Linked DNA regions of Caenorhabditis elegans. The protein of the gene in region 2 interacts with the protein of the main gene of each other region in a pairwise test. Each region holds a gene or a part of one and is shown on either strand. Other genes may lie near its edges.

Evidence for each region.
Region 1: the proteins of npp-8 (region 2) and clc-1 interact in a two-hybrid assay, tested with the Caenorhabditis elegans proteins (one study listed by BioGRID).

Annotation. Positions count from the first base shown.
Region 1 is NC_003284.9:11,045,805-11,049,970, reverse strand, and holds clc-1 (Claudin), read right to left. Parts: upstream 2,526-4,166; 5' UTR 2,362-2,525; intron 1,736-2,361; 5' UTR 1,729-1,735; coding exon 1,641-1,728; intron 1,590-1,640; coding exon 1,465-1,589; intron 1,420-1,464; coding exon 1,328-1,419; intron 1,281-1,327; coding exon 1,139-1,280; intron 903-1,138; coding exon 801-902; 3' UTR 696-800; downstream 1-695.
Region 2 is NC_003282.8:1,592,595-1,597,667, forward strand, and holds the start of npp-8 (Nucleoporin_N domain-containing protein), read right to left. Parts: upstream 3,231-5,073; 5' UTR 3,212-3,230; coding exon 2,977-3,211; intron 2,918-2,976; coding exon 2,821-2,917; intron 2,775-2,820; coding exon 2,573-2,774; intron 1,361-2,572; coding exon 803-1,360; intron 1-802. Other genes in the region: ced-2 (Cell death abnormality protein 2), read left to right, coding at 4,726-5,073.

The DNA.
Region 1 (4,166 bases), on a different chromosome or scaffold from region 2:
ATGTATCAATTAAAGTCTTGTTCATGAAAAAGTGAATTCAGTGATTGTAATAAAAACTATTAATTTGACACAAATTTTTAAATATGTTTATTTTAAAAAAATAGTGCAAAATAAAATAAAAACACATTTTTAATAAGCGGAATATGTATATTGTATATAGTCATATATTGAATTGTCAGTCAGTTGCTTTCACAGAAAAAACAACTTTTTAGAATTCATGTCACTATCTAAAGATTTTCACCAATCTTTACTTCTATCAAAATGTTTACAATGACTCACTTTTTCAACCTTTGTTGCACAATACATCTTTCAATTTTTGCTCAAACACTTGGCATTGTTACATTTCATCTAACATATTATGTTCCGAGTTCAACTAATGATCTTTCTCGCTGCGCGCGTTTTTCAAATTCTTAAGAAACTGTGAAATAATTGACTATGTTCTTTGACCGAGCCTCAGTAGTGATGCCTCCCACGCCGCAAACTTGGGAGCAACAAGTCGAAAAAAATCGACAAAAATTGCTCCTGATCTTCGTGACACGTCAGTGTGTCACTAAGAACAGACATATTCACATGTCTTACCACAGTTCAAAAGACCTTTTACAAACACAAAACCGTTACATTTTTTGCCGTCCCCATCTTGCCAGTCTTGTTTGCACTTTTTCAGTGTAGTTCGGCGTTAAATGCGAAAAACCAAGTTCAAAATCTTACAAAGCTTTAACAAATAGATTGGTGCCGACGTCTGGGCTGAGCAGTTTATATCACAGAAAATGCAGGGAAATAATAAATATAATCAAGTTTAATTAACAGCAGTGTTCCCCAAGACACACTGTTAGTGCTCCCAAAATGACATCCGCCGCAGATAAGATGAGGGCTCCAACTGCAAGCCAAAACGAGTATCCAAGCTGAAAAATTAAGTTGTGAGTTTGTACAAACAAAGGTTTATGAGCAGCTTTTGCGCCTTAGGGTATGTGCAGATTGGCCAAAAAGTTGTTCAATGTGAGATAGGGAGGGTTTCTCAAAGCTTTATAATCGGGTTTTAAAGGGTTAGAACATGTGTAAAAAAAGAGTTTTAGTGAAGTTTAATAGTTTCAATCAAATAATTTTACACTTTTTCCCACATTAAGAATAGCATTCTCACCTGCGAGTTTGTATTAATTCCATTTGTAAATTGATTCCATTCAGCTGCATAAACAATAACAGCGATGAGCAGAAGAATAGTAGAGATGACTGCAAAGAGGGTGAGTGGATGGATGATATATTTCTTGCAGCAGCAGGCAAGGCTGAAAGTTGTTTGAATTATATTAATGTCGGCTTTCGCTAATCTAACCATGTCAAAAAGTTGTAGACAACTGCAAAAATTTGGACAATCAAAGAGAGGATCATGCAGACGACGACACATTTCATCCATCCTGGAAGATTCTGAAAACAGTATTTTTGAGCATATAAATAATTTCATCAACATACCGCCCACCAATCCTGACACTGGGTTCCCTGAGAGTGACCAATACATGACCAAGGCATCAAGCCATTCCATTCAGATGTGTTGATATGAGTTATATCTTTCACATTATTTTCAACAGTATTCCAACCTGAGAGTTTGAAAATTCACTTTTTCTAACATCTCCAAAGATGAAACATACTTGGCGTAAACAAAGCAACTGCTGTTAAAATAGCACTACCAGCCATAATAAGTCCATAGAGAATTTGGGTGAGTCCGGAAAGACACATTGTGAACCTGAAACATATGGTTTTAATTTTAATATTTTTTTCAGAAGATTGACGGACAAAAAGTATTAAAAAAGTATGAAAACAATTTCTCCTAAATATGGAAATTTCTATTGACGACAGACAAACACATGGTGGCATCTATGCAACCACCTAGTTACGGAATGAGAATGCACTTCAATGTAAGAATGACGACAGCACAAAATACTAAAATAGCCTGCACATTTGACAACTATACATCTTAACCAAAATATGAAAATGATGAAATAAATGCTCAAAGTGGGCAGAAACAGTGTTTTTCTTATCGCCATTGCCAACTGGGCTGTAAAAGTTTGGGAGGGACACAGGAAGAAGTGATAAAACTAGATGCAAAAAGTCAAAACGGATTTTTTTAATTTTTGAATAGATTTTAGATACTCGGAGAGTGAAAAATAAAACAACAAACGTCGTTTGAAGCATTCAAAATATTTTCACAAAACCTGATGTATCAAGTTACATTACTAAAGGACCAATTTTGGAAGAAAATTTCACAACCCGAACTAGTTTTCAAGAAATAAGGAATGGCAACGTGCTATGTCACACAAACTGGAATGAAAAAAATGCTTCATAGATAAGATTGAACACTCAAATATTTACCTTAAATGTCGATGGGACGGCGTGAACTTGATAGAAAATATGAAAAATGTGTGTTATATACAAGAGTTAGGCTAGTTTTAAAGTAAAGAGGTGGAGAGAAATAAAGCGTTTGCTTGCTCGTATCAGTAGAACTCCTCGACACGTCATGTAACCGTTTTCGGTATGATTCAGTCAAGAGATAGACCAAAAAATAAAGTGTTGATAAGAAACTCAAGTTGGGCGTTGTAGAATTTTGAAAGTTGACATAGAGCCATTTCTTAATTTCTGTTAAAATTCTTTGTGAGTCAGCGAGTTTTGAGCAGATGGAAACGGTGATTAGTTCGTATAATCGTTATCAACTTACAGTCAGATGCTCAAATATTTCGACGAATTTTCCTATCATTTCAGCCAGTATCTTTCGTAGTTTTACAAAAGTGGAGTTTACGGTGAATCACGTATATGCGAACACAAAAGTGACGTGTTTTCATTTTTCAAAAACTTTTGTTTAGTAAGCTTCACTCAAAATGTTTTGAAACAAGCTTCAAACTTTCAAATGATTTTTTTGTGAATATTTAAAAAAAAAACTGATTTATTGGCAAGAAACAGGTGGTTTCAGCTAACTTTCTTTTTACGTCTGGAAATATAAAAAATTCGAAAACATTTTTATTTCGTGGAAATAATAATAACTTTAAATTGTTGGTTTTTTTTTGGTAAAGATTGGAAAATCAAAGCTAATTAATTTTCCAATCAGATCGTTAGCAAATTGTTCAAGATTTTTATCATACATGCCTGAACAATAATATTTACTAGAAGGTTATTTGATGTTTTAAATAACCAAAACAATAATGATAAACGGAATTTATGACTTGACATTTTTCAAAGTGTATCAGGTATGTGAAATAACCGAACCTTTAAAGGTGGAGTAGCACCAGTGGGGATTTCGTCTAAATGCACTTATAATGATCTAAAACAACCGAATATCATAAGAAAAAACTCCAACAAATTTTAGATGTTTTCTAGTTTCCGGTCAAAGTTTTGGCAAGTTGTCAAAATTTTGAAAAAAATGTGAGTTTTGAGGAAATCCATAACTATGTCGAATGTTCCGACTACTACAATATTCTATTACAAATAGTTAAAACAAAGTTACAGTATGATAAAAAATGTAGGAACAAACTTTTTTTGGTCGACTTCCGAAATTAGTTGCAAAAACTGAGTAATTTTCACATTTTGACAGTAAACAAAAAAAAAGTTTTCAAAAAAATTTTGAAACATTTTATTATGCTATTCGGTCATTTTGGAACCATAGGAATAGTTTTTCACTCTTTCCCTACTAGCGCTACTCCACCTTTAGGTTTTTTTGAGTTTGAAGACTACCAATGTCAATCTATAATACAAAAGAAGAATGTTGTCTATTTCAGCATGTTGCAAAAAACGTATGAAACTTGGAACATCGAGAATGCTCACGACACGGGTTCACGACGGGTTCACGACACTAATTGTGGATTTGTTTGTTTTGATGGACTTGAAATAAAACCAAAAAATTGAATTTCACAGTGAAAATTTCTGTAGTTATCAAAAAAACGCTGAAAACTGGACCAAATTATTTTAAAAAATTATAAAAATAAGCAATAGAAGCAACTTGGCAAAAATTAAAGGTTTAGCATAGCTTGGTTTCTCTCGAACGTTCCAATTTCCATAAATCCCTACTGAAAGAGTTTTGCTAATTCAAATTACGAAAATATCATATGTAGTAGATCTGTTCGATTTGGGTTTCCATTAATACAAAGTTCTCAAATTGCTAACTAAAAATGAGTAGGAATGAAAGT
Region 2 (5,073 bases):
TTCTGAAAATTTTTCAAAAAAAAAGTTATGGCCGCTCAAAGTTTTGGAAAAAACGGCCTATTTTTAGCTAAAATCTCAAATTTTGGCAACTTATCGGTGTTGCAGCGGTTAGAACTTAATTAATTTTTATTTGATTGGCATCCTTTAATGCACGTTTTGGCATTTTATTACGTGTAATTTCGTTGGCAGAGATGTTTTTTGGCCAATAGGGACGCATATATGATACAATTTTGCGTCCTCATTGGCCAAAAAACCATCTCAATCAACGAAATAACAAGTAATAAAATGCCAAAAAATGCATTGAAAGATGACGATCAAATAAAAATTAAGATCCCCAACCGCTGCGACTCCGAGAAGTTGCCGAAATTCGGGGCTTTAACTAAAAATATGCCATTTTTTCGAAAACTTTGAGCGGCCATAACTTTTTTTTTGAAAAATTTTCAGAACGTCTCATTACGAAATTTGGTAGTTTTGGATTATTTTGGGTCTAAAAAAAGGAAAGTCTCAAATTTCGGTACTCCACCTTTAACTTTTTATAGTCTTGAAATTCTGCTCTAAAATTGATTGGAGCTTCAAAAAAAGTGAATTTGAAAAAATCGCTCAGTTTCCTGGGTTTCGGCCGAAAATTTTACAATTTTTGCCCAGAAAGCTCGAAAATATCTAATTTTTAATGGTTTTTTTTAAAGTAAAAAACTTTCGACGAGAGCATTGGTTTAAAAACTAGATACAACTTTTTTACTCTTTTTTTTTACTCTTGTTTGTTAAATCCCGATTTTTCCAAATTTTCGGCTAAAAAACGAACTCTTTCATTAGGTGTTCCACTATTATTAAACATAGCCATCGTAGACTGCGGGCCCGTCGACACTGAAAAGTACAATCGAACTCCTTTGGCAGTAGTTGCAACTAGGTTAAGCGCAGCCGATTGTGAAGCTTCCAACGCCTTAATCGATGTAATACTGTGAAAAGATGTCTCATCGTGACCGAATTGCGTCAGAATATGAGCTTCATGTGCAATTTTCGAGATGGGAACACTCAAAAATTTGGCACAAGCTGCTCCATCCGCTCCGAGATCCCAGACACTGACGGTGCCGGCTCGGCCGAGCAAATACATGATATTTCGGGATTTATCGATTGTAATCTGATCGAGGGGCTCTTTTGAAGAGCCGAAGAATGGTAGAGAGATCAGTGTTCCGAGAATTGATGCAGTTTGATTTACACCTCGACACTTGTGATTTGTGGAGCCAAACCATCCGTTTTGTTTCTCGTAGACGAATTCGAAGAGTTGATCGTCGGCTGTATAGAATACTCGACCATTTGAAGTATACGAAATATCATTCACTGTTGCTCCGTCAAGGGCTATCTGAAAAAAAAAATTGGGGATTTTCTAGAGAAATTGCTGAAAAAGCTCAATTTTTGGAGTGTTTTCCAATGTAAAATTGCGATGAAATTCATATAAAAATTGACGATTTGGGGATTTTTATGATAATTTTGGCTTGAAATGGGTTTCGTTTTCAGAAAATATATTTAAAAAAAATAAAGAGTATCGTCTAAAACTAGTGATATTTTCAAAATTTTCGCTCATTTCAGAACAATTTTGGCTTAAAATTGAGCTTTTTAATGGGGATTTGCCAGATACAACATAAAAATTTGACGATTTTCTAGAGAAATTGCTGAAAATGGAAGATTTTTCTGGAAATTATGTGAAAAAATAAAATTTGAGCTCAATTTTAGAAAAAAAATAGACTTAAAAGGAGCGTTTTTATGTACTGGAATTATAGTAAAGTGCTGGAAATTTCAGATTTTTAAGGAAAATTTTGGCTTAAAATGAGCTTTTTTTTCAGAAAAATTAATGAAAAATTGAAGATTTCCGCAAAAAACTGTGTTTATTTTCAAAATTTTAAATTTTTTAGAAAAAAATTTGGCTTGAAAATACCGTTTTTGTGTTATATTGAAGTTTCTCGTCGAAAATTACTGTTATTTTCGAAATTTTAGCTCATTTTTGAAAAATTCTCGCAAAAAAAATTGAGCTTTTTAATGGAAATTTGCGATTTTCTAGAGAAATTGTTGAAAAGCTCAATTTTTGGGAAAATTTAGGCTTAAAATGAGCTTTTTTTATCGGAAAATAAATGAAAAATTGGAGATTTTCGCATAAAACAACACATATTTTCGAAAATTCGGCTTGAAATGAGCGTTTTCAACGACAAATTGTTCTAAAAAAAACGAATAAAAATTGAAGATTATCGAAATCCCCAATTTTTGGTTTGAAATGAGCATTTTTGATGTAAAATTGCTTTGAAGACTCAAAAAATTAGTCAGAAACTCGGATTTTCAAGTTTTCGAGTAGAAAAAAAAACAGAAAAGCGTTATCAGCAAATTTGAGCTAGAAATAGACGAAAAATCCCGTTGTTTAAATTTTTTTTGTCGATTTTTAAGTAAAAATCGCACGGAACATCGATTTTCCCGTGTTTTGAAGACTCAAAATCTCCAAACTTTTGCGATTTTTGATTCAAAAACTTGGGTTTTCTTGGTAATTCTTCCTTCTTTTTTCTCCATTTTCACTCGAATTTCGAACCTTGAAGCATCGTTTTGAGTCGATAGAAATGCTACTGGCGCCATTTTCCACGAAATCAAAGACCGGATAAAGACATATATCGGAAATTGTGCCGACAACGAGCCCATATTGAATTTCCGGCTCAAAAACGCCTGGCTTGATGTTCACCAGCGACACCTTCAGAATTGCAGCGTCTGATGAGTCGAAAAACGCCAAATCGTCGCTGAAAATTCGATTTTTTTTCGGTATTTTTCGGCTTTTCCGCTTACTTTGTCTCGTAATTCCACATATAGAGATTGTTATCAATGACGACCCAAACTCGGCTGATTTGTGTGAAGAATCCCATGCTAAACTCGCTGTGAATATCTGAAAATTCACCAATTTTTCGCTGAAAAACCCCCCCATCGGAAACAATGCTCTCTCACTGCTCATTTGCATTTGAAGCTCTCCGGGTATTGGGATTCGCCGTGTGCTCACAAACTCCGGCGCTCCCTTCACATAAAACTTCTCGCCGAGACCGGAGACGGGCGTCGTGCCGTGTTGTGTGAGGCGATCGAAGAAATCCGATGTCTCCATCATCTGCTCGACGTGGTGTGCCACCTTGTTCGCCGCCGCTTCTGCCGAGTCGGCCGAGCCCAACTCCATAAACGAGACACTCATCTCGGAGGATGGAAAGCTGCTGAAAAAGTCGGAAAATTTTGAGTGATTTTTGATATTTTAACCTTTAAACTTGAAAATTATAGCAAAAAACTGTAAAAAACCCGGAAAACTTCCCGCAAAACGCAACTTTTCGCGCAAAATTCCGAATTCAAATTGCAATGCGGCGCGGAAAAGTGGGCGGGGTCGCGTGTTGCAAGTCCCCCGCACACCTCATCGTGTACTCCTCTCGGACAAGCGCAACAGCTGACAATTTATTTTTGCGTGCAAAAAAAGTCGTTTGTTTGCAATTTCTCACCAGTTTTCGGAGATTTTCTTGATTTTTTGCGGTTGCGCATCGTAAAATACGTATTTAAAATGTGTAAACTTTGGCTCCAGTCGACAAGAAGCTTATGAGTCATTGCCTGGGAAAATTGCTCATCAATTTCCTCATTTTTACGAATAATTGGTGTTTCAATGCGTATAAAAACAAGAAATCGGTAAATTTAGTATGAAATATATTCGAAAATAAAGGTTTTAAGCGTATTTTTCAATTTTCTTCTACTAAAAACCGAACTTTAGCCTAAAAACCTGCTTATTCTGCTCGAAATTCTCGATTTCGCCATGTTTTCCAATTTTTTAACACAGTTTTTCAAAAAAATTCTTCATTTTTCCCATAATTTAGCCGAAAAACTCAACTATTTTGCCCTCTTTTTCCCTAAAACTCGCCATTTCCTACCAAAATTTGAAAATTTTCACTGTGTCCAATCGATTTTTCTTCCTAAAAGTACCATTTTCTCCAATGTTCATTTATTTTTCAGAAATTTTCACTAGAATTACTAGATTTTCTGTGCCAAAACCACGATTTTCAGCAATTTCTTTCTTTAAAATCTTATTTTTTGCCATTTTAAGGTACTTTTCCAACGAAATTCCTGATTTTTTGATTTTTCCACGCAAGTTTTGGCCGATTTTTAACTGATTTTCAGCATTTTTTCAGCCAAAAAAACATCCATTTTTGTTCATTTCCTGAATTTTTTAAATGGAAATTCCTTGATTTTCTTGGAAAATCACGCTAATTATTATTCAATTTCCAACTTTTTCATCCAATTTTCTGCCTATATTGACTCGTTTTCCTTTAAAAAATCGAATTTTCACCCGTTTTTTCACATTTTCAGCAATGTTTAGGTTGAAAATCATATTTTTATTCATTTTAAAATATTTTTTCCCACGAAATTCTTGATTTTTTTTTTGAAGATTTTTGCGTTTTCTTCTCAAAGATGGTGATTTTTGGCCGATTTTCATAAATTTTCGCTCTCAAAAACAAGATTTTAAGCATTTTTCAGCCGAAAAAACTTTCCCCTTTTATATAATTTTTCTTGATTTTTCGTCTTTTTTTTCTGGATTTTTAGGAATTTCTCGTGATTTTTGATGATTTTCCGTCTATTTGGGTTACGTTTTCCAGAAAATTTTCCCAACTTTGACCAATTTTGCGCGCCTAAAAATTCCACGTTTCTAAACAATTTCCCGCATTTTCAGAAATGACGACAAACGGGTTCGATCCATTCGAGTGGCGTTCATTCTACTTCCCAGGAATGAGCCGTGAAGAGGCTCACAAGTTGCTCGGCGAGCCACAAGTATCGATCGGCACCTTCCTAATGCGGGATAGCTCACGCCCCGGTGAATATTCACTGACAGTACGTGAAGCCGACGAGGGAAATGCCGTTTGTCATTATTTGATTGAAAGAGGAGAACCGAAAGAAGATGGAACTGCTGCAGCTGGCGTGAAAATCGCGAATCAGTCGTTTCCAGACATTCCGGCGTTGTTGAATCATTTTAAAATGCGAGTTTTGACTGAGGCAAGCCTGCTGGCCGCCTACAAGAAGCCT